2 linked regions of the Stegostoma tigrinum genome follow. The protein of the gene in region 1 interacts with the protein of each later gene in a pairwise test. Links are inferred from orthologs where the notes say so. Each region holds a gene or a part of one and is shown on either strand. Other genes may lie near its edges. The genes, in order: SH3 domain-binding protein 5-like and tnksa.

What was found.
Region 2: the proteins of SH3 domain-binding protein 5-like (region 1) and tnksa interact in a two-hybrid assay, tested with the Homo sapiens proteins (2 studies listed by BioGRID and IntAct). The link is inferred for Stegostoma tigrinum from reciprocal best matches to the Homo sapiens genes SH3BP5 and TNKS.

The regions. Positions count from the first base shown.
Region 1 is NC_081355.1:21,865,266-21,880,355, forward strand, and holds the start of SH3 domain-binding protein 5-like, read left to right. Parts: upstream 1-6,906; 5' UTR 6,907-7,734; coding exon 7,735-7,806; intron 7,807-15,090. UniProt on the Homo sapiens protein: Functions as a guanine nucleotide exchange factor (GEF) with specificity for RAB11A and RAB25. Inhibits the auto- and transphosphorylation activity of BTK. Plays a negative regulatory role in BTK-related cytoplasmic signaling in B-cells.
Region 2 is NC_081356.1:13,987,198-14,002,967, forward strand, and holds the start of tnksa (poly [ADP-ribose] polymerase tankyrase-1), read left to right. Parts: upstream 1-9,980; 5' UTR 9,981-10,033; coding exon 10,034-10,373; intron 10,374-15,770.

The sequences.
Region 1 (15,090 bases):
TTTTAACTGTAAAATAGTTAGACTGAGTTACTGTAGGTGCCATTAAAACCTTCATTTTAACATTCTTTATTAAACAAGTTACATATTTGGATCCTTAAGTAAATAAACAGACATTAGTTTATGGCTTTGATGTCCACTTCCTTTGATATGCCATGATCTGCACTGATTGATATAAAGAAATTTTTCAGATATTTTCTAATCAGCCTGTTCAAAGATATCATTACACACCTCTGGAGCAGGTGGGATGATTCCAGGCCTCCAGGTCCAGAGGTGCGGAACTATCACTTGACCACAAACACATTATAAAGACAGTTCCATCGATTTTTTTTTTAAACATTAACTGTTCAGACAACATAGGCCATCTAAATTTGAGATGGGGTCACTACCACTGTATTACAAGAGCCTCTCACAGACAGCATGCTAAGCCAAACCTAAAAATTGCCTACACCTTGAGGTCAGTTAGGTGGTAAAATACTAACTGTGAACGGTTAATGAATCATTTTTTGCCTTTAATGAATATAGAGACAGGGTACCAAACCCAAAACTTTTACACTTACCTCCCACCACCTGTGATCTACCCTTCACTCATTAAAAACCTCAAATACATACTGCTTGTTTTGTACCTTACTTTCAGTCTCTTATTAATTCTCAAGATGCAACCTAAGTTCTCACAACTACAAGTTTAATGAATGTTGTTTTATGTGGAACTTTGTCAAATGTCTTTAGGAATCCAGGCGCACCAATTTGTCTTTACAGCATAATAACTTAATAAAAAGTCCTAAGGTGTTTCACATAGGCACAATGAAAAGTAACAAAATGCTGCATGAGACTTTTTCATAGTCCTGCTCTGTTTGCAGTGGTTAACATTAATCTATGCATTTTTCAATTCTATCTTTAAGTGTCAGTCATAGCTCAGTGGTAGCATTCCTATTTCTGTGTCAGATGTTTGTGGGTTCAAATCCCACTCCTGAGATTTAAGTATGTCACAAGACTGAATTGGGAGTGCTCGGATGTACCCAGTTTCTAACTGATTTAAGTGTTAGACTGGGGCTCAATCTACCCTTGGACTTAAAAAATCAAAGGGCACTGTTCAAGGGAAAAAGAATAAGTTCTCCCAAGTGTTCTGGCTAATATTTATCCCTCAACTGGAAATAAATGATCCACTGCACTAATTTTTGTGAAATCTTGCTATGTTAGCTGCCACACTACAGCAATGATTACAGTTTAAAATGTACTTCAAACACTGTAAGGCATTACAAAAATTAAGCTGGTTAAAGTCATAGAGACATAGAAATGTACAGCATAGAAGCAGACCCTTCAATCCACCTCATCCATGCTGATCAGATATCCTAAATTGAGCTAATCCCTTTTGCCAGCATTTGGCTCACATCCCTCCAATATACCCATCCACATGCTTTTTAAATTGTGTAAATGTACCAGATTCCACCACTTCTTCTGGCAGTTCATTCCAAACATTCACCACCCTCCGTGAGACAAAGTTGCCTCTTAGGTCCCTTTCAAATCTTTCCCCTCTCATCTTAATTCTTCGCTTTTTAAAATAAGTGCAACATGCTACAATGTACTGTATAATGGAAGGAATGAAATCCCTGAAAGGTGGATTCAATCATGAGAGTGTTGTGGGAATTCTAGGTGCTGCTTTGCTGACACCTGTTTGTGCATATTTCCACATGACTGTCTAAGTAGAAAGGTTCACTCTCCTGATTTAGAAATCCCTGAGGCAGGCAGACATTCTGTCCCAATCAGTTGCCAATGCTGCTCTGGAGGTTTGTAAGTACATAACAAACTGATCGATCTGCTGATTACATTTCTTTCTCTCCCTCCCACTGGAGACTTACTTAGCGTCTGTTTGACCCAGTTATGAAAGAGAACATTGAGACTCAGTTTGTGATGTAGAAGTGTGGAATCAGCCCATCAATACAAGTCGTTACCTAAAAAAAGTGTTACAAACATGAATTTTGCATAACTCAAAACATTCTAATTGTTCTTCTGTTTCAGTATGTTCAGCAATCGAAAGTATTTCACATGTAAATGCTTTCCCCTTCTTTCATAATACGTAAGCATTGCTCACAAGACAAGCATCTGTTGCCCGGAGATAGTAAGAACTGCCGACGCTGGAGTCAGGAATAACACAGTGTGGAGCTGAAGGGACACAGTGGGCCAGGCAGCATCAGAGGAGCTGGAATGGTGACGTTTCAGGTTGGGACCCTTCTACATTTGTTGCCAATCCCTCACTGGCCTTGAATTGAGCGATTTGCTTCGGAGTTCACCACATTGCTGTGCATCTAGAGTCACACCTAAGCCAGACCAGGTAAGGATGACAGATTTCCTTCTCTAAAGAATGTTAGTAAATCAGATAGCTTTTATGGTAATTGTTGAATGCTTCATGGTGAGACTAGTGAGACTACCTTTATGTTCCAGGTTTATTAATTGAATTTATATGTCACAACTGGGTTTAGAGAGATATGAGCCAAATGATGGCAAATTGGACTAGGTCAGATTGGGATGTCCAGTCGGATGGGTGAGCTGGACTAAAGAGTCTGTTTCCATGCTGTGTGACTTTATGACTGCAACGGTATGATTTGAGCTCATGCAGCCAGACCACTGACCTGGACCTTGGGAATTTTAGTCCAGTGACATCAATACTACATCATCATGCCCTCACCCCCCGCCATGATCTGAGCGTGCTTCCATTGAGCCACTGACTGACACTTAAAGAGTCGTATTAATTACTATATACAGCTGACCGAAGCACCCTAAAACCAGCTATATCCAACACAAGTTCAGTTTCACCTCTGATTCACTCATACAAATACTCGAAGTCTGAAAAAAACTTGTCCTCTTTGCTGCTGCTGAACACAGTATGCAGTATCCAGTAGAGATCAAATCTAACTTCAGTGACTGTACAAGCTGCACTGCAGCAACTTGCCAAAGTATTTTCAACAGCTCTTCTAAAATCTACAATTTCAACCACCTAGGAGAATGACATCGCCTCACCGTCACTTCAAGGTTCCCTTCTTAATCACATAACCAAACTCGGATATATATCACTGCTCCTTTATTGTCACAGTTCTGGGTGCTATGTTGAACCTTTAACGTTTGTTCAGCCTGAACTGAGATGTGATGTTAATTCTGACAACAAACATTAGGAGGATGTGAAGAATGTAGGGAGAATCATGGGGTTCCAGGACAAGAGACTTTTGTGTAATTTGAGGAGTTGGGATAAAAGCAAAATTCAGCAGATCTCTCTCCACAAATGCAGCCAGACCTACTGAGCTTCTTCAGCTCTTCCTATTAGGGAAGCAAGTGTTGGACATTTAATAATAGAGTTCAAAATCAAAGGGGATCCAGATGGAGTAGATCAATACAGACAAAGAAAATATTTCCATTAGTGGAAGGTTGAAGAATTACAGAATATAGATTTAAGAATATAGATTGAAAGGCCAACATGAGGAGTATGTTTCTTAACACAGTGAGTGCCAACAGTCTGGAATTTACTGACTGACAGGATGGCAGAAGCCAATTCAATTCTGATTTCAAAAGGTGGTCAGATAAGCATCTGAAGGGAAAGATTTACAGGATTTATCGGGAAAGAGTGTGGAAATAGGGCTAAATTGTTCTTGCAGAAAGCTGGCATCTGGCCTGAGAGGCTGAATGTCCTCAATCTGTACTGTAACCATTTTATGATGCTTTGATTGTACTACTTAACAATACATATGGAAGTACTGTCACCACACTTCAGGAATACTCATGGGTAACGTTTTCATGTGCGATTAGCAATAACTAATAAACTCTGGCCTTGCAAGACAGGCCTCCATTTTTGGAATTTTTATTAAATGCAACTTGGAAATTCTGCTTCATCTGCTGAACTTGTATTATTTTCTTTTCTGTTCACAGACTAGTTAATTTTCCATTCAGAGAGGATAGAATTTTTTTGCACAAAGGGCAAAATGGCATCACATATTTATGTTTATATGAATAAACAAATTGTTGCGTATTCTCAGAATCTATGTGGAATATGACAGTTCGATGAGTACATAGATGTTGGAGTTGCATCTCTCTGGGCAACTGGAAAACTTTGCTTCATGTTTCTTTGGTGTGCCTTGAGGTGAGGTTTTTGGCAGTCAGGAGATGAACTACTCATCACAGAATTTCTGTTTAAGTTGCCATTGTATTTATAGTTACTTCTATTCAACCTGTTTGGGTATCTTGTGACACATCCTGGAGCAGGTGGAACCTGAATGCAGGCCTTCTGGTCTAGAGACAGGGACACTACTGTTGCACCACTAGCGTTTTTGCCATGGCATTTACAGGTATTTTCTATTCAACCTGTTCAGAAATATTATTAGACACCTCCTGAACAAGTGGAACTTGAAACTTGGCCTCCTAACTCAGAAATAGTGACACAACAACTGTGCCACAAAAGCCCTGTCATATAATGGCATTATATGGTGGGTTTAAGTCAATTTCTGCTCAATAGGGACCACAAGATGGTTATAAAAGTAGAGCTGTTTTTTGATACTTTTGGAATGTTTGCTTTGATTTGCAATTCCATGGACAGTAAAGCAGTCCATCTCAACACCCAGCAACACATGAACAACAGCCAGGATTTTATTGATAAATGGGTGCTATTGTTTTGCTTTAATCGGAGAGTGTTCCTCTCTCTTCAAAGTTACTGATATTCTTACCCATTGTAAACCTTATGTTGAATTGTTTCATCTGCTGCTGTTCTACCTCTATAATGCTCAATCACATGACTGCCCTGACTTCATCATCACCCCATCATTCGCCACTAGATTCATTCATTTTGGTTTCTGAACAACTCACAGCACTAAGATTCGAGGACTTCTCTTTATTGTGGACTAGCGAGTTGCCTCAACACTTCCCATGGATTAAATAAATGATTGACTCCCCAATCTAGACTCCTGTTGAAGTCAGGTTGCATAGCTAAATTGACCTGGTAACTTTCTGTTACTGAATCTCTGTTTTTGTTTGAAATTCAGAAAGCTATATTGTTCCTTGAATTAAATTATTAATAAAATCCACCTATTTCTCTCACTTAGGCAATTTTCCAAGAGGATGACAGACTAATACAAATTAACTGAAGAACTAAGATGAGTCAGTTCATTTCTCAGACTCTTTATTCTTTCCCTCTCCGTCTTTAAAACAATCCATAGAACCTAGTTATAAATGAAAAGAACTGCGGATGCTGTAAGTCAGAAACAAAGACAGAAATTGTTGTAAGCTCATTAGGTCTGGCAGCACTTGTGGGGAGAAATCAGAGTGAACGTTGTGGGTTGAGTGAACATTGTGGGTTCAGTGACCCTTCCTCTGAGATTTACCAGGACATTGCTGGGTATGGAAGGTTTGAGTTATAAAGAAAGGCTAGATAGGCTAGGACCTTCTTCTCTGGAGTGTAGGAGGTTAAGTGGCAACTTGGTAAAAGTTTATAAAATAATGAGAGGAATAGATAGAATTAATGGTAGCTGTCTTTTACCTCAGATGGGGATTTCAAGACTAGAGTATGTTATTTTAAGGTGAGAAGAGAGAGATTTAAAAAAAGACGAGGAAATTTTTTTACACAGGGTGGTTTGCATGTGGAATAAACTTCCTGAGGAAGTGGTGAATGTGGGTACAATTACAATGTTTAAAAGACATTTGGATAAGTACATGTATAGGGAAGATTTGGAGAGATATTTGCCAGGATCATGTAGGTGGGACACATTTAGACTTGGATTATGTTAGGCATGGATTGGTTGGACTGAAGGGTCTATTTCCATGCTGCTGGACTCTACGACTCTTGAGTTCTTTGAGCAAACCGTTCATCACCAGATTTCATAGAATCCCTACAGTGTGGAAACATACTTCCTTATGTGACACAGTGTAACATGTTGTCCTATAACACTACTTTGAAGCTTTAAGGTATTCTGGTTGTTAAATGGACTATAAAAATGTTTGTGGGTTGTTGAATTAAGTGAGAAAAAGATTTAACCAAGGTTTTACATTGCTTTTTAATTGCTCATTTTCAGACTTTCACTATCTTGTATTGATTAATAGTAATATTTCCCAAACAAATAATATCTCAGCTTCCTTCATTTTTTGAATACTGATAAGCATAACAGATGATTTTTACAAAGGTTTAAAACAAACGAACAAAAAAAAACAGACGTTTCCTCTAGGAATTTAGCTCCCAGCATACAATAATCTTATTTCAGTACAAACCATATTACTATGGAAGAACAGAAAATGAATTGAACGTTATTACCACAGCAGCAGACTTTGAGCGGGTTTTGCTGTCTGAGCTCCCTTTCTTGGATATTCTGTTGTGTGCATTCGCACTGCATTTTTGTCTGTCATTGTAACAATTTCAAAATAATCCTCTATTTTCATTAGTGAAGTTAATTTGAGGGAGGAACTGATACTATGAATGCTAATCATACCTTTCCACATCAACACGGTGTTTCATTCCAAACTAGAATTATACGAATTGTTGCCTTCAATATGGAACTCAATGTAACATCAAAATGCTTGGTTTGTAGCGGATCCGAGAGGGTGCGGATCCAAAAGACAGGTTTGCATTCATACGGCAACTTTCATGATCTCAAATAGTTTACACCTAATGAAATATTTTTGATATGGGATGAGATAATAAGCAGGTTGCATGTTTTTGTAATGTGTGAGAGGAACAAACGTTAGCCAGGACAAAAGGGAGAACACGCCTTATCTCTCTAAACTCATGCCACACAATCTTCACACGAGAGGGCAGAACAGGGCCTTTTAACGCGTCGTGCAAAATATGCCACACTCCATCAATAGTGCCAGCGCGGGTTGTGTCCTCCAGCCTGAACTGGGCGCTACAACTTAGTGACCCAGTATTACCCAGACTGGGCAGTGAGTGAGCTCTGCAAGATGCTGTGTGTCAGTGAGATATTCTGTAAATTATCTCCGAATCAGCACAGGGGTAGCCATCATCCGTGATGCAATCCCAGCCCGTTATTTCCAGAGCCAATAAAGGACATGAAAATAAAAGCAATAATTGAAAGAAATTAATTCTTTAGAGGGAGAAAGAGAAATTGCTGGAAATAACCGCTGGTCTTAGATTGGTAACTGCATCCTCCCCTGCGGGTAAGTGAAGGTTGGGGGGGTGCGGAGGTAAATTTTCAGCCTTTATTACGCCTGTATCTCATTAGAACAAAGCAATCGCCAACAAGCCCAGAGTAAGAGGAAGGGGCGGAGTAGCAGCGCACTGAGGAATCCTGGAGAATGTAGCCTCTCTGACTCCGTTTGAACGAGCTGTGCTAACGTCGCTATTGTATGACAACGCCAACCTCCTTTCATCCTGTCTGTGGATATATTTAGAATGATTTTCCTCCTACCAGGGCTCTGAACGACAAGAGTCTGCATCCGAGAGGGCGGCGTATATTTCCTCCGGACACTTCAAAAATGTTGAATTATTGCAGCTTTTTACGCGTCCAAGTTTTGCTGCCTCGTTCGTTGGAGCCTGTTTTAGTGGAAGAATGAATTCCAGATGTTTCTGCAGGATACAGCAGTGTTGACTCCGACAACGTCTTAATCGATAGTGAAGCCAATTCTGTTTCACTTCCCTGAGTGTTTCTCTCTCTCCTTTTCGAATTTCGGTCCTAGCTTGCATTTTTTTACATTCTCCCAAAATAAAAGAGACTGAATGCTGTAAGATATAAATAATTTAGTCGCAAAATGGACGGGTTGTCGAAGAAGAATGAGAAGTTAGAAGTGCCAGAGGAGGAAGAAGTCGACCCAAGGATTCAGGTAAACATTTTTGCCAAAACGTTCCTTTGGAATTGGTCGGTTTTGTGGCTTGTACTAACGTTGCAGTCCGGTGGATGGGTTATTTTGTGAAGCTTCACCGCATAACTGCAAAAAATATGTAAATGGCAACTTGCTGAGAGATGGGAACCAGAGAATATGGTTCCCACAACAAGTTACAGTTCGCATTTTTTTGCAGTTATGCAGTAAAGCTTCATGATTATGTGTGAATTGTAGGAGACCTTCTGAGTTTATAGTCTACAGTCAGGAATCCGTTTGCAGTCTCCAGTATAATGCGTACAATACTAAAACCCCATTATTGTATATGCAGTACTAACAGCATGGTATATGTATATTGTACTAATACCTTGGTAAAATGTATGCTGTTTCAGTGCCCTCTATAATGTATACTGTACTGATAACTCCTTTTATAATGATCTGGGATCAGAAGTAAAACTTTAACCATTTTCATGGAGTTGAGCTTTTTTTGTGTTCTCAGGGAGATAAGCTTTAATTTTGGATATGTTATTGGTTAAAATAATATTTCACTTCTATCTTATTCACGTAATCTGATTTTTAAAAAATCTAATGCTTGTACTTGGCTGTGACATTGCTAACTGCAGTTTTAAAACAGCCTGGTCCTCTTTGTTGCATTCTGTAGGTCTTCTCCCTCTTTGTGTATCTGTCTGTCTAAATTGTTTGAGGTGTGTGAGAATAGCCTGTTTTCCTCATCAGCCATTTATATTTGAATTTCTTTTTAAATGGACATTTTCCATTAGCTCTTCCCTTATCAAATTTGACTTGATTGTTCTACCAAACCATGCTGCAGCAAAGAAATTGGGTGTTGCAACGCCATGATATAAAATTTTATGTGCTGGGCTGTTTGTGGAGGACAGTAACTCTCTGGTTAAGCTTCCCACTAATTGCATGGGCAAGGCTGTCGCTAATTGCTTCCTGAACTCAAATTGCCCAATTGTATTGTTCAAAAATCTTTTTTCTTTGTAAACGACATGCTTTTTTACTTTTAAGAGAGGCCTACTGTCTTTTATTGACTGTAGTCTGATTTTGGTGTTTTGAAGTTTTCCTGGTGCCTTTACTCAGTGTTCTCCACTTGGAGCTTGATATTGTCCTAATTTCATAAATCTGAAATTGAGAAGTTGATATTAGTGAGTGCAACTGTCAAGCTATCGGATTGCCTTAAAAACCCCATGTAATTCGTCTGTTTCCTTTAGTGAAGGAGACTCACTGTTCTTTACCTTGTTTTCCCTATGATCCAATGCCACACCAGCATGCATTCCTTTTAGTGTTTTTACTAAGGTAGCCTAACAAGCTCAATTACATCACCTTAAATGCCAGCTTTGCTTGTCCATGTCCTGCAAATGAATTGAAAATGGTCTAACTTCTCAGACTCTGTAATATACGGTGAATTTTTCCCCCATCTATTAACAACCCAAACTATTGTGAGCCACCCAACGCATTCCAACCTAAGCCAAACTGAACTCAAGCACTAATTAAGATAATTAAAATGTGAGGCTGGATGAACACAGCAGGCCCAGCAGCATCTCAGGAGCACAAAAGCTGACGTTTCGGGCCTAGACCAAGCACTAATTCATCATTTGTCTCTGAGGATTTGCTTTGTCTTATGGCATTATTCTATACTGTCTTGAGTAATGTTTTCTGCAGCTGCACACCATGAAAATCACTTCGTATTTAAACCAGTTTTCCCCATTGCTGTTCCTTCAAAAGTACAGTGCTTTATGTTTTCAGCATAATTAATTTGCCTCTCTCCTCTCCGCCCTCACTGTCCGTCATGTTTTGTAGTCTGTAACCATAAATTGTTGGACCTTCTTGCTTCAGTTTAAATTACCAGTTACTATAGGAGCACATTAATCAATGACATTATCACCAGGAATTCCTGTTGACATCTTCATATTCGATGAAAGACGGGTTCTGTGTAAATGCAGGTCCAATGGGAACCTTAGGACAAAGGTTTTGAGGTATATTAATTGTTTTATTTGTAGGAAATTTGCTTATAACGAGGTGCAGATGTCAATTACATAACCATTAGTTAATCAGTTTGTGATGTTACTTGAGGAATATTTATCGGCCAGGATGCCAGAGAGAGTGTGAAACAAAAATAACAAGCTGACTGAGAAAACAAAACTGCAAGTCTACCCAAGTCTGCATTCTCAATGCACTCGTGTGTCCTGCATATCTCTTGGCAGGATGATCTTATCAAATTTTAGGTGTTGGAGTGTACTAATTCCATCATTACTTGCTCATTATTAATACTGATGTCTGTACTGGCTTGGCCACATCCATTGGGTGGATGATGGCTGCTTATCTGAAGATTTCCTGTTTGATTAACTAGCCATTGGGTTACACCTTGCTGGATATCTACAACTCAGGATACCTCAGGCAAAATGTAATAATGGCAAACATTTACACTGACAACTAGGAGAAGGTCCTGATGGCTGAGGCCTCTGGTGGCTGACTGGAGAGACTTTAGAAGAAGTGCTATGAAGCAGAAACTCAGCTGGCCAAGATATGGGCCCAAGGAAAATAGATGCTGACAAATCTTGCATCTTCTCGGTCCCCTGTCTTCATCCACAGCAAATACAGGTGGAAATGCCTTGCCAAAGTGGGGATCCTGATCCATGAGGTGATAGTTGAACATGATCCACCATCTTGTAAACCGGTAGGTTGCCAAAGCATCAGTTATAGTGATGAGTTGAGAGATGAATATTGGTCAGGGTGCCAGCCAGTGCAAACTCTTCAAAATTGTGACCTAGGATCTGTTGCACATCTATCTGAAAGGACGCACATTCAGTTTAACTTGTCATCCGAATGACGGCACCTCTGACTGTAGGGCACTTTATTAGAATTTATTATTCACTCATGGAATGTGGTGCCATTGATTTGGACAGCATATATTGCCCATTCCTTATTTCCCATGAGAAGGTGGTGCTGAGCTGCCTTATTGAACAACTGCAATCCACATGCTGTAGGTTGACCCATAATGCCCTTAGGAGGGAATTCCAAGACTTTGACCCAGTGGCAATGAAGAAATGGTGATATATTTCCAAGTAGGGAAGGTGAATGACTTAGAGGGAACTTGAAGGCGGTGGTATTCCCATGTATCTCCTCCCCTTGTCCTTCCATGGAAGTAGTCATGGGTTTGGAATGTGCTGTCTGAGGACCTATGGTGAATTTCTGTATTGCATCTCGTGGATAGTACACACTACTGCTAATATACATCAGTGGTAGAGGGAATGGATGCTTGAGGATGCGGTGCCACTCAAGTGGGCTGCTTTGTCCTGCATGGTGTCAAGCTTCTTGTGTTGTTGGAGCTGCACTCACCCAGGCACGTGTAGTGTATTCCATCACATTCCTCTTTTATGCCTTTTACAGATGGTGAATAGGCTCTGGGGAGTCAGGTGTTGAGTTAATTGCCATAATATTCCTAGCCTCTGACCTGCTCTTGTAACCACTTTGTTTATGTAGTGAGTCCAGTTGAGTTTCTGGTCAGTAGTAACCCCAAGGATGTTGATAGTGGAGAATTCATGATGGTAACACCATTGAATTTCAAGGGATGATGGTTAGGTTGTCTTGCTTGAAATTTGTGTGGCATCACTGTTACTTGCGACTTGTTAATCCAAGCCTGGATATTGTCCAGATTTTGTTGCAGATGGATATGGATGCTTCAATATCTGAGTAGTTGTGAATGGTGTTGAACATTGTGCAATCACTTTCATTGGATTGACAGCTTAGATTTTATTCAAGAATAGGATTTGCATTCAACCTTCTATCTCAAAGCAATGATACTATTAGGTCAGAGATTGGAGGCACTGAAAATGCTGGAGAATCTGAGATAACAAGGTGTAGAGTTGGATGAACACAGCAGGCCAAGCAGCATCAGAGGATCAGGAAGGCTGACGTTTCTGGCCGAGACCCTTCTTCAGCCTTCCTGCTCCTCTGCTGCTTGGCTGCTGTGTTCATCCAGCTCTACAACATACAAGTCAGCCAGGGTTGATGCCTAAATTAAATAATGTGGATTTTAAAATAAATAAATGCATAAATTTAAAAAAACCCTGACATCCACAGCTGCATAAGCATTGAGACTGTTTGCTGTATGAGCCTGCTAATACTCAGGTAGACAGCTATGTCATTACAGCTGTTAGAAAATATTCTCCATTGTACTTAAAGTTCTGGATGTGAGTTTGCTTGCTGAGCTGGAAGGTTAGTTTTCAGGTTAGTGAAAACGAACCTTCCATCTCAGCGAGCAAACTCACATCCAGAACCTCAACCTGAGCTACAAATCTTCTCAAAACTCGCTTGTACTTAAAGTGTTAATTAAAATAAGTTTACAACGTTTGTTTTATGAAAAGTGAAAATGAAAGTTTGTGCCTTTCTAAAAAAAAATTGAGCCCTTCAAATGCCTACAATTAGTGAATATTTTCTTTTCAGAGTATGATGGCACAGTTTCAAAAATCGTAAATGGAGCTTTGACAGTTTCTTGACCCCATTAAGTGCTTTTCAATTATGGAATATGTTACCTTCTTGTACAGATGTTTTGGAATTTTTTTTTGAGCTGGAATTACTGTAAGCTACAACTTTTTTAAAATTCTGGTTAGGAACATAAGGAATAGGCCAGAAGGGCCTTTGATCTGGATCCACCATTCAGTTAAATCATGACTGTTTTATGACCTACTTCCATAGACCTGCAATTTCTCCATATCCCTTAATGTGTTTAGTTAACAGAAATCTATTAACCTGAGATTTAAAATTAACAATTGATTTGGTATTAGTCACTATTTGCGGAAGAGTTTTCAGCCTGTGTCAGCTTTGCTTTTCTAACTTCACTCCTGAAAGACCTGGCTCAAAATCATAGGCTACATCACCTACTTCTGGATTTCCTCAACCAGTGATAGTTGTTTCTCCCTGCCCACCTTTATTTGTTCCAATTTTAATAATTTGAAAACTTTTGCTCAAATGACTCTCTTATAACTTTCTAAATTGCAAGAAATGTAACCAGGATTTGTGTAATCTTTTTCCTTATTCAATTTCTGAAATCCCAATGACGTTCTAATAAATCCCCACATCCAGAATATGCTATCTTAGGTGTGGTATAGTCCAACTGTGGTCTAATCAGGGTTTTACATATGTGGTAGCATGATTCTCATTTTTTTAAATATAATTCTCTAGATATCAAGTCCAGTATTTCACTGTGCTTTGTGATTTTTTGTTTGTTTGTATCTGTCCATGATGTTATTGGTGCTCATTTTTAAAATCTGAATATTGTCATGGTGCTAATTATAGTCTGTAGTAATTTTATGGCAACAAATTTTAGGCTAGCTCATCTATAATTCTATGTTTCTCGTGGAGTAGAATAACAAGCACAATTTTCCAATTTAGGAATAGTTCCTGATTTACTCTAACTTTGAAACAACATCATAATTAGGGCATCTGCAATGTTTCCACCTCCTTCTTTTAAATGCCTAGGATAAGAACTGTGCAGTCCTGGAGATTTATTTCTCTTTTGTCACTACTTTTGTTTCATTTGCACTAATTTGATTTTCTAAAAAAAAAATTAGCAGATTTGCAATTAGTTTCTTTGGGACATCCAACGTCCTGTTATCTTCCTATGCTGTAAATACTTTAAACCCTGTCTACAGTTTTTTCATTTTCATATTTAAAATCCTTGTATCAAATTTTGATAAACACTTTCTCAGTATCATTGTAGTAGTTTTAAAATATTGATTTCTTCCTCAGCATTATGGAGTTAATACTGATTTTTTTTTTATATGTCTGAATTTCTGTAAGGTGCACCTATATGAGGAACCAGGTTGGGGATTTTTGTTTTTGATTAGAGTTAAGTTAACATTTGCAATAAATGGGGAATTTCGAGAACCATACAGCACGGAAGCTATTTGTTTTATTGTTCTTTTACTTACAGCTCTTTTGAGCTATACACTAACAATTCCAGCCCCACCTTTTTCTCATGTACATGTATGAACAGGAGTAAATTAATCAGCTCCCTTCTGTTTTGCCATTCGTTTAGATCATGTGTGACCTGCATCCTGACTGTCTAAGTCCGCCTTAGTTCTGCAATCCTTAACACATCCTAAGAAAAATCTATGTATCTTGTTTGTGTAATCTTCGGTTGACCCCCTGCATCCACAGCTGTTTGGAATGGGAGAGAATTTTCTGAATTGCTAGAATTGTTCAGTGAGAAACTGGACTAAATGGAATTGAGCAGTAAGGTTCTTTACCTTTTGATATTTAAAATCAGCAAAATGGAACAGACAGGGTTGATTTTTAAAAGGCTAACTGCTTTCTGCTAAAACTGGATAGTGTAGTAGATCATCAGACAGTTGGTCATGTAGCCAGACCCATCTGGAAAATAATGCCACCAGCTTTCTGTAACATCTTTAAAATGTTTGCTGAGCAAAAAGTGATGAATCTCCATTTTGAAATTCTCAATTGACTGAGCCATAACAGCTTTTTTGGCAAGAGTGTTCCAAATTTCAGCCATTTTTGAGTGAAGGAATGCATTCTGACATTGTCCCTGAAACTCCAGCTTCAACAGTCCCTTGCCTGGTTTGGACTCCCCACCAGAGGAAGTAGTTTCTCTTTAGCAGTGAAGGGGCCAGTTAAGTTGGTTGTTAGATGGCCAGTGTATCGTTCAGGCAACAACCTGTTTTTTATTTATTATTTCCCAACTGGCTGATGTCTGTGCCTCTCACCCTACTCCTGAACATGCTAAACAATGGCAAACCACCACTGACCAAACTGCCTAGAAAATCTTGCCTTTGGGCAGAGCTCATGTGGAATACAATAGTATCCTATGACACTCTTTCACCATCTTCAGACCTCAGTTAGACCATCCCATAATTTTCAGTAGGGAAGAGAATACCACACTGCCCTATGCAATATGGCCTCATAATTTAACCCTTTCAGTCCTGGGATCATTCTGCTGAATCAAAACTTTGTCTCTATAATCCTGCAATCATCATAAAATTGGCACCAGATTTGGACATCACACTACAGCTATGCCAAGAAGCAGTGTTAACATTTGCTGACAGGTCGCTACCTGAAAAAGTTAGCTCTGTTCGTTCCTCTATGCACACTCTTTGGAACATGGAACATGGAATATGGAACAATACAGCGCAGAACAGGCCCTTCGGCCCTTGATGTTGTGCCGACCTGTGAACTAATCTAAGCCCCTCCCCTACACTGTCCCATCATCGTCCACCTTTGACCTGCTGAAATTCCAGCATTCTCAAT
Region 2 (15,770 bases), on another chromosome or scaffold:
ACACAGCAGGCCAGGCAGCATCAGAGGACCAGGAAAGTTGATGTTTCAGATCGGGATCCTTCTTCAGAAATCAGTTTCAGATTTCTGAAGAGGGATCCCAATCTGAAACATCAACTTTCCTGCTCCTCTGATGCTGCCTGGCCAGCTATGTTCCTCCAGCTCCACACTGTGTTATTTCAGACTCCAGGATCGGTGGTGCTTATTATCTCTGCACAGCTAATATATTCTTTCAGAAATATGATGTACAAAACTAAGTGCAACTTGCTTCTGAAACTTGTCCACTTTATTTTCCTCTCTTTTTTAAAAAAAAACTTCAAGGTCCAACATTTTGGCAATTTTTCCTAATTTTCTGCTGCCTCAAGTTTTTTTTTTCTCATACTTTTTTACGAAATGCCTTGCTCTTTAATGTTAGGCAATCTTTTTATAAAAACACCCAGCAGTTATTTCAAAGATTACTTCTTTAAAACAGAGATAACAAGGTGTAGAGCTGGATGAACACAGCAAGCCAAACAGCATCAGAGGAGCAGGAAGGCTGATGTTTCAGGCCTAGAACCTTCTAGACCTGTCTAGGCCTGAAACATCAGTGTGCCTGCTCCTCTGATGCTTCTTGGCCTGCTGTGTTCATCCAGCTCTACACCTTGTTATCTCAGATTCTCCAGCATCTGCAGTACCTGCTATCTCTTTTCTAAAACAGATATGTTTCTTTAGCTTCCAGCCAGAAAAGTATTGAAATGGAGAGTCCAATCACATTTCACTCATTGGGAATAATTTTTGTAAAGCTGACGCCATTGTATACACCTCCTCTCCTTTGGCATGGTATTGATTGATGGCAATGTTCACTACTGCTACCTCAAGTTGATTAAACAGCTGTGGTATTCTACCTGGCCATGAACTCAGCTTCCTCTCCCATAACTTGTGTGCGCTGGCAATGTTCAGCAAGGGTTTCATGGAGGTGAGATGGCATCGAAGAACTGCAACTTTCATCCCAGCGGTACAGCGAAGGGGACTCATGACTGGCCATCAGGCCCATGATGGAGCACTGAACAAGGATTGTAAAGTTGAACACCCTTCCTTTTTCTTAAAAAACTTTTCTGTCTTTATATTCTATGTTTTGGTATATTTTTCTGTACTTTAAAGGTGGCACCAGAAAGTGGCAACATGACAACACTTTTCACTGTATTTTGTAACAAATTACACATGACTGTAATTAAAAACATCAAATCAATTTGTTTTCTAATTTTACCTTTATCCTATCACCACTGAAACTGTAGTCTAAGACTTCAACCATTCAGGTTTGATTTCCATAGTACTACTCCTAATCAATCAGAATCCTTCTTTAGGCCACCAGTTTTCTGGATTTCCACAAGACAATATTAATTAAATCTTAAGAGTGAGATTCTTTCTCTGATCTACTGTTTTAATTTGAAGTAATGTTCTCAAATTTTCAGCCCTTCCCCCAAGCTGCTGTGAGCAAAAGACTTCAGTTCCTGCTGTGCCTGTGACTGGAGACCGGTTGCACTAGTTTCTTGGCTTCAGCTATAGTTTGTTCCTGGTCATTCAGCTGTATTAAGGTACAAGCCCTGGTTGCTTCTGTGAATTTAATGATCATTTCCAACTTGATCATATTTCTGCCTTCCAACTGATTTTGTACACCTCCTGGATCTTCATTCAGGAGTGGTTTACAAAGTCACTTACTTTAAAACATTTCCATGGAATCCCTACAGTGTGGAAACAGGCCATTCAGCCCAAGAAGTGTACATCACCCCGCCAAACAGCATCCCACCCAGACCCATTGCCCTATCCCTGAATTACCCATGTCTAACTCACCTAATCTAAACGTCCCTAACTCCACAAAGGCAGTCCCCCAAGGTTGGAATCGAACCCGGATCTTTGGCGTTGTGAGGCAGCCGTGCTAGCCACTGAGCCACCATGCCACCCCTCCGTTACTTTACCCTCCGTTTCTGGTTTTTACTTGTTTCACCCTTGTCCAAACATAGACAACTGGTCATTGGTTCACCATTTAGCCTCCAATTTACTTCCACTGTAATTGTTTCAACTTTGACTTTAAGTCCCTTCTTTTGCCTGCTATCTAATTCATGTTGAGGACATTTAAAGGACTGACAGTCCTTCACTCACATCCATTCTGATTTGATGTCATAGAGAAGGTGACACCTGGACAAGGGTGACAGATTGCACCAGACCAACATCCCTACAAGGATGGAGTGGGGGGTATGCTGGTGCTGTTGGTGGGGATTGAAACTAGTTTGCCAGGGCAATAGAATACAGAATAGAGGTACAATACAGAGTGATCCACACATAGAGAAGACCAAATCAGTCTGGAAGACGGAGTCTTCATAATCTAGTTAAGGCACAAAGAGCACGGTAAGGTTAGATAACATTTAACTGAATGCAAGGTGTAAGGCAGATGAGTTGAGGATGCTGCTTACTAAATGGGGATATAATTACTACCCAGGGTACGGAAACTTCAGGCCAGTCAAGTGGTGGAGCAGGGAGTTGTAAAAGAGGTAGTGTTGCAGCAATGATCAAGGAGTTAATTCTGGCAATATGGAGGGACGATATCTTTGAAGAATCCCAAATTGAAGCCACATGATAGAAGTTAAAAACAAAAAGTGGAAGTCCTCCAGTTAGGAGTGTAGTATAGGTTCCCAAATAAACAGTTAGAAAGAGATAAAAAGGCAGATTTGTGGACACATCTCAAGTGAAAATTATTAAGGTAATAATAGTAGGGGATTTCAACTTTTTTACTCTTAACTGGGATAGAAATGTGAAAGGCTTAGAGAGGTGGAACTCTTAGAATGTATCCAGGAGAACATCTTGGGTCAAGATGTGGTAAGTCCCACAGGTGGTGTCGAACCAAATTTTATGGAACAAAGCTGGCAAGAGGTAGAAGTATCAATTGGGATGCATTTTGATGACCTGACCATAACTCAGTAAAACTTACGGTATTTATGGTACATGATAAACGTGGACCAAAAATAAAGGTTCTGAATTGGGAAAGGCCAATTTTAATAAGACAGCAATGGCCAAAACAGAGTGGGAGGAGATGCTTGTAGGAAATGTACATAAGAGCAGTGTGAGTCATTTGAAATGGACATATGAAAATAACCTGCACTTTACTAAGGGTGAAGGGTAGGACCAAGAAGGCTAGAGAACCCTGATGTCGACTAATATATATGGATTAGGAAAATAGGTAAGGTTAGGGCTGATACTGGGGACTCAAAATAGCAGAAGCCCTAAAAGAGTGTAGAAATCGCAGGAAGTTATCTCAAGAATAAGGTACAGAACAAAGAGGAGGCATGCAAGAAAACTGATGGACAAAATAAAGGTTTTGCACTGCAGTGGTACGTAGATGGGGTCTATTTCAATATATTTGTTTATCACACTGGTGGTTGAAAACCAGGCCTCCAGGAATTCGTCTTTGTTTTGCTTGTCCATTGTTACTTTGTCCAGTTAAACTAGAATGTAATAGAATGAAGGAGAGTTGGCCATGCTGTTTTGCTGTGAGTTGGTGTTCGTGTATCCTGGTGGCAAGTTTCCTGCCCATCTGGCCTATGTGGTGCTTCTCGCAGTTGCTGCATGGTATTTTGCATATCACATTTCTCCTGCTCATTGTGGGTATAGGGTCTTTCGTCTTTGAGTGTAACTGGCAAAGTGTGGCTGCTGGTTTGTGTGCTATCATTATTCCAACAGGGCGTAGGAATCTCATAGTCAGTTCTGATATATTTCTAATATAAGGTAGGGTGACCAGTGTGTTGGTGTTGTTTACTTGCTAGGCATCGGTGGATAAAGCTGTTAGGATACTCATTATTTGTAAAGATTTTGTACAGATGTTCCTCTTTGTTTTTGCACAGCTCCAGGGTATTGCAGTGTGTTAATCGCTCGTTTAAACAGAGTCTTGACACAGCTCTGTTTGTGGTCACTGTTACTGTTGTAATTCAGGATTTGTTCTGTGTATGTTGTCTTTTTCTATATACACTGGTGAGGAATTCACCATTGTTTATTCATTCCAACATTATGTCTAGAGTTGATTGTTGTTCTCTATTCCCCTGGTGACTAGTCAAACCAAACCGGACCATATACATTCAGGGTGGGTCAGAGTAACACAGCTTCAACTGAAGCTATACAGTGCTGAAGATGTCACAGGGAAAACCAGATAGCTCAGCGAACAAACCAACAACACCAACCACAACCCAAGCTGAGATCACAAGGTGTAAAGCTGGATGAACACAGCAGGCCAAGCTGCATCAGGGGAGCGGGAAAGCTGATGGTTCAGGCCTAGACCAAGCTGCAGATCTTTGCTAAAACATTATAGCTGTAGATGAGATTTTAAGTTAGTTGTAAAAGAAACAGAACAAGAAGGCAAAGATTTAGAGAGTGTTGTGTAACTGAAGCTTTTGTGATGTGAGAGATAACTTTTCCACACAGTGAGCAGTTAAGAATATGGGATGCACTAGCTGTAAATTCAAGATTAACACTTGAAACACCATAATGTACAAGGCGACAGGCACGATGCTGCAAAATAGATAGTTGCTTGATGGCAGACACAAACACGAAGAGCCAAACAACCTCTGTCAATGCAATAAGGCTCTAGAACTCTCTGAATCACCAAGCTGATTAATCTGTCTGACTTTGATTGATATCTAGGTCAGAAACTCCCACCGGATTTATCAACAAACAAAAGAAAATTAAAAGCCAAATTTATTCCTTAACAGTTAGCAACACACGTTAAAAGCTGCTACTAAGCAATCTTAAGCAATGTCTCCTTTAAACCCAAACCTGCATACAATAATTCACAAATGGGACACATGGCTCTGCAGAAATATGATTGGTGGAAAGTATTGACAAAAAAAGTGTTCTGTGGTTCAACAGTCAGTTCCACGGGTGGGAATGAGATGCCTTTATAGTTTGTTTTTTGGCAATTGTATCATGTTACGATCAACTCCAGAATGATAGAAGATCCTCATTTTGGCAGGAGGTCAATGGATGTACGATTTTACTTGAGTTGTAAGTTGCTACCAGGGTCTTGCAGTGTGGACTTTTTATTTTGACTCTCAGATAGAGACCAGTTTACTTCCCTTGCAGACTTTCTGGAGGTCTGAGTTTTACTTTCCCTGATCTCAAGCCTGTGTCAAATTGCAAGTTAAATACTCAGAGGCTGTTAGAACTGACAAAAACTGCAGATGCTGATTTCTCTCCACAGATGCTGCCAGGCCTGCTGAGCTTACATAAGAATTAGGAGCAGGAGTAGGCCACATGGCCCCTTGAGCTTACCCCGCCATTTAATGAGACCATGGCTGATCTTTTTGAGACTCAGCTCCACTTACTCACCCACTCACCATAATAACCCTTAATTCCTTTACTGTTCAAAAATTTATCTAGCCTTACCTTAAAGACATTCAACGAGGTAGCTTCAACCGCTTCACTGGGCAGGGAATTCCACAGATTCACAACTCTTTGGGTGAAGAAGTTCCTCCTGCCCTCAGGCCTATATCTGCTTCCCTTTATTTTGAGGTGATGCCCTCTAGTGCTAGTTTCACCTGCTAGTGGTAACAACCTCCCTGCCTCCACCTTATCTATTCCCTTCAAAATCTTATATGTCTCTATAAGATCTCCCCTCATTCTTCTGAATTCCAATGAATATAATCCCAGTCTACTCAGTCTCTCCTCATAATCCTACCCTCTCAACTCTGGAATCAACTGAGTGAATCTCCTCTGCACCCCCTCCAGTGCTACTATATCTCTTCTTAAGTAAGGAGACCAAAACTGCACACAGTACTCCAGGTGTGGCCTCACCAGGACCCTATACAGCTGCAGCATAGCCTCCCTGTTTTTAAACTCCATCCCTCTAGCAATGGCAGACAAAATTCCATTTGCCTTTTTAATTACCTGCTGCACCTGCAATCCTACTTTTAGCGATTCATGCACAAGGACACCCAAGTCCCTTTGTACAGCAGCGTGCTATAATTTTTTACCATTTAAAACATAATATATTTTGCTGTTATTCCTACCAAAATGGATGACCTCACACTTAACAACATTGTACTCCATCTGCCAGACCTTTGCCCAATCATTTAGACTATCTAAATCCCTCTGCAGACTTTCAGCGTTTTCTGCACACTTTGATCTACCACTCTCCTTAGTGTCATCTGCAAATTTTGACACACCACACCTAGTCTAAACTCCAAATCATCTATGTAAATTGTAAACAATTGCGGTCCCAACACTGATCCCAGAGGCACACAACTAGCCACTGGCCGCCAACCAGAAAAACACCCATTTACCCCTACTCTGTTTTCTACTGGTCAACCAATCCTCTATCCATGCTTTATTATCCATGCTATTACCTGTAATAATGTGCAACTTTATCTTATTTTGCAGCCTTTGGTGTGGCACCTTGTGAAATGCCTTCTGGAAATCCAAATACACCACATCCACAGGTTCCCCATTGCAATTAATGTCCTCAAAGAATTCCACCAAATCAATTAAACATGACCTACCCTTCATGAACTCATGCTGGGTGTTCCCAATGGGACAATTTATATTCAGATGTCTTGCTATTTCTTCCTTAATGATAGATTCAAGCAATTTCCCCACTACTGAAGTTAAGCTAACTGGCCTATAGTTATCTGTTTTTGTCTGCTTTCTTTTTTAAACAGTGGTGTCACATTGGCTATTTTCCAATCTGCGGGAACTACCCCTGAGTCCAGTGAATTTTGTAACTAATTACTAGTGCATTTGCTATTTCCCCCATCATCTCTTTTAGTACCCTGGGATGCATTTCATCAGGGCCAGGAGACTTGTCTACCTTTAGTTCCATTAGCTTGCCCAGCACTGCCTCCTTAGTGATAATGATAATTTCTAGGTCCTCACCTGCTATAACCATCTTGCCATTAGTTTTCGGAATGTTATTTGTATCTTCCACTATGAAGACCGACATGAAATAACTGTTTAATGTCTCAGCTATTTCCTCATACCCCGTTATGAAATTGGCCTTCTCATCCTCCAAAGGACCAATGTTTACCTTCACCAGTCTTTTACAATTTACATATTTAAGAAACTTTTGCAGCCTGGTTTCATATTCTGAGCTATTGTATTCTCGTAATCTATATTACTTTTCTTTATAACTTTTTTTTGTGGCTTTCTGTTGGCCTTTAAAGATTTTCCAGTCTACTAATTTCCCACTACTCTTTGCTTTGTCGTATGTGTTTTTTTTTCAATCTGATGCTTTGTTTCCTTAGACATCCATGGCTGGCTCTCTCTTTTCCTGCAGTTCTTCTTTATCACTAGAATATACTTCTGCTGAACACTGCAAGTCCTCCAATGTTCCTCAATTGATCCACCATAAAGTTTTTGCTCCCATTCTACCTTAGCTAACTCCTCCCTCATTCCTTCATAGTTTCCTTTGTTTAAGCACAGGACATAGGTACTGGATTTAACGTTCTCATGTTCCATCTGTATTTTCAATTCAACCATACTGTGATCGCTCCTTCCGAGGGGGTCCCGAACTGTCAGATCATTAATTATTCCTGTCTCATTACACAGGATTAGATCTAGGATAGCTTCCTCCCTCGTAGGTTCCATTACATATTGTTCAAGGAAATTATCGCGGATGCATTCTACAAACACCTCCTCAAGGGTGCCATGAACGACCTGGTTTGATCAATCGATATGTAGATTAAAATCCCCAATGATAATTGCTGTACCATTTTTACATGCATTAGCTATTTCTATGTTTATGGTCCGCCCCACCACAATGTCATTATTTGGTGACCTATAGACCACACCTATCAATGACTTCTTCTCCCTACTATTCCTACTTTCCACCCAAACGTTTTGTTCAGTAGAACCTATAATCATCTCTAACTACCGCCCTAATATCATCCTTAACAAATCAGAGCAACACCACCTCCCTTACCTTCCTGTCAGTCCTTCTGAACAGTTTGATACCCCTGGATATTTAACTCCCAGTTATGACCATCCTGTATCCATATCTCTATAATGGCCACTAAATCATACCCATTTGCCATGATTTGTGCTGTCAACTCATCCAACTTATTTCGAATGCTCCGAGCATTCAAATAAAATTTCCTTATGTAAGTTTTTGCACCTTCTTTTTGGGTCCTATCACCTTCATTACTAACAGCTCTCGAGTTCTCCTTCCCTTTAATTTTTTTCCTAATTTTCAATGGAGTTGAAGCTTCTTTGTCACCTGCTAACCTGTTGCTTTGCCTTACATTAATTCTTATTCTCCCTCTATGCTCACTTCTCCCGTCCCCACTACTTACTAGTCCAAAGTCCTATTAACCACCCTATTTACTATTTTCGCTGGAACTCTGGACCCGGCCCTGTTCAAGTGGAGTCCATCCCAGTGGTATAGATCCCTCCCGCCCCAGAACTGATGCTAGTGCTCCATGAAAAAGAAACCTTCTTTCTCACACCACTCTTTTAGTCACATGTTTACTTCCCCGATCCTCGCCTCCCTAAGGCAATTTGCACGTGGCTCGGGTAGCAATCCAGAGATTATGACCCTTGAAGACCTGTTTTTTTAAACTTTTGTTCCTAGCTTTTCATAATCCCGAAACAAATCTTTTCCCCATTCCTGCCTATGTCGTTGGTCTCTACATGGACCACAACAACTGGATCCTCCCCCTCCCTCTCTAGTATCCTCTCAAGCCAGTCAGGAATTCTTCGCACCCTGGCACCGGGCAAGCAACACACCATGTGGGATTGTCTATCCTGCTCACAAAGGATACTGTCCATCCCCCTGATGATGGAATCCCCCACAACTACAAACTGTCTTTTTGCTCCTCCCTCTTGAATGGCCTCCTGGGCCATGGTCAGTTCCTGCAGCCCTGTTCCTCATCCACACAGGGGGCAAGTGCCTCACACCTGTGGGACAATGTCAAGGCTCCTGTGTTCCTGTCTGCACAGTCCCTCTACCTGCCTCACTCAGTCACACACTGCTGTCCCTGCCCGCTGATCAAATTAACATTAGTTAATCTACCAGGTGTGACTGCCTCCTGGAACACAGCATGCAGGTATTTCTCCCCCTTCCGGATGTGTCACGGCGTTTGGAATTTGGATTTCAGCTCATCAATTTTGAGCCAGATCTCCTCAAGCAGCCAACACTTACTGCAGATGTGGTCACTGCCGTTCTCAATCAGATCAGCTAGCTCCCACATCATACAGCTACAACACATCACCTGGCCTGCCACCTCTACTTAGTTAATTATTTAAAATTAATTAGATTTTTTGTAATTTTGCAGTGTTCTCTGCACCAGTTTTCTCCGTTATATACTCAAACAGACTCCGGCTTTGCCTTCCAACCTGCTCCCAGAGGATTTGGTGTCTAGGTGACCAACCCAAAAGATAACAAAGAGATGAGGAAAAAAAAATGCAAATAGCTTACCTGCTCACCACACTTAATCATTATTATTAGGTTAGGTTACACGTGTAGTATCTTGGGTATTAGTTAACTCCCAGATTCATTGGGTGGAAGCTTACCTTCCCAGGATGCCCTTGTGCTTTCTCCCAGACTCCTGCCACTGATACAACTGAAATTCAGGTTTATCCACCAATTTCTATTTTCGACTCAGAGGCTGTTTCTAGGCCAGCTTCTCAACCCGACAACTCTTCAGCAACGCGTCACTATGACAGGCTCCAGCTTTTGACCCGCCCACGAGCACAGGTGAGCGCATGCAAGGAGTTCCCAAATCGGCCAATCAGAGTTCGGGCCAATCAAAAGGCCCTGAAGAATGACCAATCAGGTAGCGAAAAGCTGTCCATTGGCGTGAGGAGGTGTCACCCCGCGTCAGCCTCACCACCACCCCCCGATCCCCCCCCCATCCCCGAAACATGCCCGTCCGTAGGGCCGGTGCTGGGTACGTGCACGATGCGCGTGCGCTTCACTCCACTCCACCCCCACCTCCCGACGGGCGCCGCCGCTTGGTGTCGGCGTGCGCGCTCAGTGCCTCAGTGACGTAAGCCGGCGTTGCTGCAGTGACGGTCGAAGATGGCGGCGCGGCGGAGCCAGCTCTCTCCCAGCGCCTCGGACCCCGGCCCGAGCTCCACCCCAACCCCGACACCGGCCTCCGACAGGCCTGATTCGCCAGGATTCACCGGCGGCAACGCCACCTCCCCGCCTTCCGGGGCAGCGGTGCCGCCGCCGCCACCACCACCAACAACTACAACAACAGGAGGTGGAGGGGGGGCGGTGAATGACTCGGGCCGAGAACTGTTCGAGGCCTGCAGGAACGGCGATGTTTTGCGGGTGAAGCGACTGGTGGATTCGGGCAATGTGAACGCCAAGGACATGGCCGGCAGGAAATCCACGCCGCTGCACTTCGCCGCAGGTTTGTACGTCGATCAGGCTTTTAGAGCGGGGCCTATAGGAGGTGGGGCGGTCAATGATCTCCTAGTGTGCGGATGGGAGTCCGGGGCTGAGATCAAGAACCTCAAGAGGCCTGGACTCGTCGCCGTCAAAACAACGCAACAACTTTGGGATCGGGGCGGGGTGAGGGATGAAGATGTTGCCATGGGTTTGAACAAGGGTAGGAACAAGGATGGCTTAAAATCAGAGTCCGAACATGGGCCCTCTTCAAACTGCGGATACTGCATTAAAAGAGTGATAGCCCCATACGATCTTTGTCAATTATCGTGTGGCAGTAATTCATATTATTTAAATGGACTTCACAGAGATCGGGAGCTGGAGAACGTGTTAACGGGAATGGTACGGGGAGGATAAATCTTCATTTCGCGTTGACGATGTAAACATTAGTTTCATTATTGGGTCATTTGTAACAGCAGCGGCGGCTGTGTCGAAATTTTGTTGCACACAAGTCTGTTCTCAAGTAAAAGTACCTTGTCAATTTTGGAGCATTTGAAAATGGTGGTAGTGACAAGGCCAACCAACTCGCCCACTAACCTCCTCCACCGTCGGGATGGCTCGGATCTGAGGAGCTTGGAGAGGATATTCCCAAGAAAGGAAGGTTTAGTCTCGATAAAATAGGTCTTTTCCTGTCTTCTGAACTGCTCCCCATTAGCTTAAAAGTGCATATCTAATTGGTAAAAGGTTTGGAGGCCATAACATTAAGGAGAGGCAGCAGTGTAGTGGTAATGTCACTGGATTAGTGAACCAGAAGAGACTAATAGTGAGGACATAGGATCAAATCCAACCACGGCAGGTGAATTTTAATTCAGTAAAAAATCTGGAATTAATTGAAGCTGGCCTAATGACAACCATATAACCATTGTTGACTTGTAAAAAGCCACCTTGTTTTTTCGTGTCCTTTAGGGAAGGAATCTATCATCCTTACCTGGTCGAGCTGTATGTGATTCCTAATTGATGGCTCTGCAGTGATGAATGCTGGTCCAGCCAGTGATGCCCACGTCCCATGTCCAAATTAATAAAAGGGCTTTGTGATACACAATGAATCATAGCATCTGTACAGTGCAAGTAGAGGCAATTCAGCTGTCAGGTCTGCACTGACCCATTCTATCCTATGTTTACCATGGGTAATCCACATAGCCTGAACACTGCGGGGCAATTTAGTATGGCCAATCCACCTAACCTGTGCATCTTTGGGTTGTGTGGAGGAAACTGAATTCCCCTTTGGAAACATACACAGATACAGGGAGAACGTGCAAACTCCACACAGTCACTCAGTTGTACCTTGGTCCCTGATGCCATGAGGCAGCAGTGCGAACTACAGTGGTACCATGCTGCCCACCTACAATGGACCAAATGGTTGCTAAGAATTTCCTTGGTGTGACTGGCGAATACATAGATCGCGTGTCCTGGTTTAAGAGGATGCATAGACTGGATAAGTATTTTGTGGTTTTGCTTTTTTTTTCCCCCCGGTTTGGGGAGTGAAAGGAATCCAGAAGTATTGTTAGAACTCACTGATTTTTAAAATTTATTTTTGTGTTATTCTTTTATTAATTTTGGTTTATTGCTGAGAACTGTGAACTGAAGCTGTTAGAAACAAAAATAAGCCATTGTTTGTTTGTGACGTCAAGTATGAAAGTTAATTACAGGTTGATTCTTGATCAAAAGGATTCTATAGACTATTTGACACTGGGGAAAGCTGTCTGTCTAACCAGACAGCAGATGTTTGGCCATTGACAATGTCAATACCTGGGAATTCTTACCAGCAAGTCTGCAAGGGAACATGATTGGCAAACAGAGGGAGGGCCAGAGTTTGAACTGGTTTTTGGACTGGTTTATGAGAGGAGGAGTTTGTTGATGTTACAGCATGAAAGTTGGAAAGCTCCTTGCCTAACCTCCTCTTATCAATTCTTGGAAGTTCAGAAAATGTAAATAAGTAATGCCTTCCTTTAGCATGAACTGAAAAGATGACATTGATGTCTTAGGAATGTCAACCGAGAAACCTTTGTTTATGCCTGCAGAACAGACATTGTGAAAACCCCATAAGTAATCTGGCCAGTTTTGTTATTTTTATTCATGCCTTAACTCTGTCTGTGTATCTCTTTGTATGAAAGGAGGCTGCAACAAAGGTTTTTGGGTTTCAATCATCAACATGAATGAGATTACTTGCTGTGTTAATAAATTGTTATCTTTTGTTTAAGTTTGTAAACCCGGTGTCAAGAATTGATTATTCACAGTTTAGGATTGGTTATTCAAAAAGTCTGGCCAGGAATCGTTGGGGTCTACTTTGAGAGTTTTTGAAGGTTTTAATTTCACTATGTTGTGAATACAGATGTGGAAAAGCTGGTTTGATTTAGCTTTCTGTCTCTGTGTCGTAATAGTATTTATTCACAATGTAGAAGACACCATATTGATTGTATGTTCTTGTAATGTAGTACTTTTTGTTCTTGACTAACGTTATAAGTGATAAATGTAAGGTCCCTCTCTGAAAAGCCGATACAGCAGTGTGGGTTATAACTAAAATAGTCAAAGTACTCCTCTGAGCACAAAGTGTGGAGCTGGATGAACACAGCAGGCCAAGCAGCATCTGAGGAGCACAAAAGCTGACGTTTCGGGCCTAGACCCTTTCGAAACGTCAGCTTTTGTGCTCCTCAGATGCTGCTTGGCCTGCTGTGTTCATCCAGCTGCACACTTCGTTATCTAGGACTCTCCAGCATCTGCAGTTCCCATTATCTCTGACTCCTCTGAGTCCCTTTAGTTTTGTTGATTCTGATAGAGTTTTTGAATGCAGTGAATCTTCGCAACTTAAAATATGCCTTGCAAAGGTGACCTTTCTAAAATACCAAATCAGAAATGAATAAAGTTGATACTGTGACTTGATTCTGTGATGTTAATTATTGTAAATAAGTCCAAGCCAATTCCCATTTTTAACTTAAATTTGCCTCATCAGGAATTAACAGTAACTTCAGTTGTTGTACTTTATCTTTCTGTTTATTGCAGATCTTCCTTTTTATCAGTGTTCTGGTGAGATATTGCAACATTTTAACCCAGCAAGCTGTCAGTGAATATTTCTAATAATATGGAGACCAGAGCCATCATTTATATTTAATTGTATTGATACCTTATCATTTTAAATTGAATCAGATTAACATTTGGTTGAATGGGACGTTATTCTCTTGGCATCAGCTAGCTGAAATATTTATGAGAAGTGAATTTAAGTAAACTTTTTTGTTTGGATTTTGTTACTTTGAGGTAAGCTTGAAGATTTCACTTGATTTGGAGTTTTATTTTCCTCCATTTTTGCCACAGAGAAGGAAATTTGGCTTCTTAAGTGTGTTTAGAATTAGTGGATCTTTGACTTGAAATATTCTTGCATTCGGTAGGAAACTTAAGTCCAAGTATGACGACTACTTTACTGATTAAATAGATACTTTTGGCTAAGTGAACTCAATTATACAGCATCATTGCCTCTGGCTGAAGCATTTATGTAGTCTATAAAACAGTTGTACCTTTGAGGTGAGTGTTCATTTTTCAGTGCCTTCAGGTTTTTTAAAACACATTTTTATTCTGCTGTATAAAATATTTATTTAGCAAGGAATACATTAATACTAGGTCAACTGGAGTGAAAATAATTTGGACAGCTTTGGACATGTTTGTAAACAACTGACGATTTCTTAAGACGTAGATCAACCATTATGCTGTAGAATGAAAGGAGAGGTACAAGGTGTTGAAAAGGCTTCTGTCCCCATGCAATTGAAGCAGTTAAGACCTGTGACTGATGTGAATTACATGGTTTGCTACGGGATAGGAAATGAGATTGTGCTGATATCCTGTATATTTCAAAGTCAGCAAGGCCTTCATGTTGCTGGGAGAATTTACGACTCAATTTTCAGCAGTTCCAAAATGGTATTTTAAAGGCTAATGATATTTAAATGAAAAATAGAGGCTGTCATGGGGCTTCAGGGACTTGTATTTACTTTTTTAATGGAAATAGTGAGGCAAGAGGTGATTGGGGACTGAATGTTTCCTCAGCCAGGAGGAGAATATGTTGTTGACAGCTGTTCTCAAACACATCACATATAGACAAATACTCGTGACCTCATTTTACTGTGAAAAGAGCCATTCACACTTTGGAGACATTGTATGGACTTAGTTTCTTTTTTTCCATCAAGAAAAACATGATGCTAGAATGTTCAATGGTTTGCTTTAGACTTTTCAAACTGCCTGTTCATAGAATATAGAAGGATGTAGCACAGAGGGATCCCAGCCCTTTGAAAGAATATCTAATTAGTCCCATTTCTTTGCTCTATCAAAGTTTCTCCTTCAAATTACTTCTTAGCAATTGACTATTTGGTCAAAAGTTTCTGTTTTGAATTCAGCTCATGTATGATTGGCAAATATTGCTGAAAATTTAGTACTAGAATAGATTATTTGGAATGTAATCTGTAAAATTAGGAAATTCCTCTTTCACAATTGTTAATAAGCTGTTTGAGGCACTAAGAGATATTGATTGAATGATGATCATCATGATCCTCCATTTTAAGGATGAAGTTTGTGAATTAGTAAAGCTAGTTTTTAATTTATCCTGAACTGAGTGTTCGGTTCAGATGTTTTTGCATGTTGTTCCATTGGAATGGGGCAGAATTGGCCAATGAAACATTTGATAGAAAGAAAATTTATCTTTTTAGCAGAGATCTAGTTTCAGACTTGTTTTCTTTTGCCATGGGCCCTGTACCTCACTGTATACCCTAGTTTTCAAATGCCAATGCCTGCTGTCCATAGCTGAGACAGAGCAGTGGGGTCAAGATGGTAAACTGTCTAGCATTCACCAGACAAAGCTATTGCCAAAATTCATCCCATTTTTAAGTTATATTGCCAAGTTTAATTTTATCATTTGCATCTATGGTAGTTGCAATTGGGTGTCCCCCTGCCTTCTCCAAAGGATTGTTATTGGGGGTAATCAAAACAGTACCCAGCTGATGGGAAATTTGAAACAAAAACAGAGAATGCTACAGAAACTCAACAGGCCTGACAACATCTGTGGAGAGAAAAGTGAACATTTCAAGTCAGAGTTGAAATGTTAACTTTTTTTTTCCACTCTCTCCACAGATGCTGTTCAACCAGCTGTGTTACTCCGGCATTCCCTGTTTGTTTTAGATTTCCATTTTCCACAGTATTTTACCTTTATTTGATGGGAAACTTGATGGATCAAATGACATTAGGTTTTACACTACATGAGATTTAAATCACAAAAGTTGATGTCACGATGCATTAGATTTGCAGTATTCTGTTGTCAACTGCTTGAATGGTGATACTTCCACATTACTGTCTGATTGTAGCAAAAATAGGTAACGTTAATTTT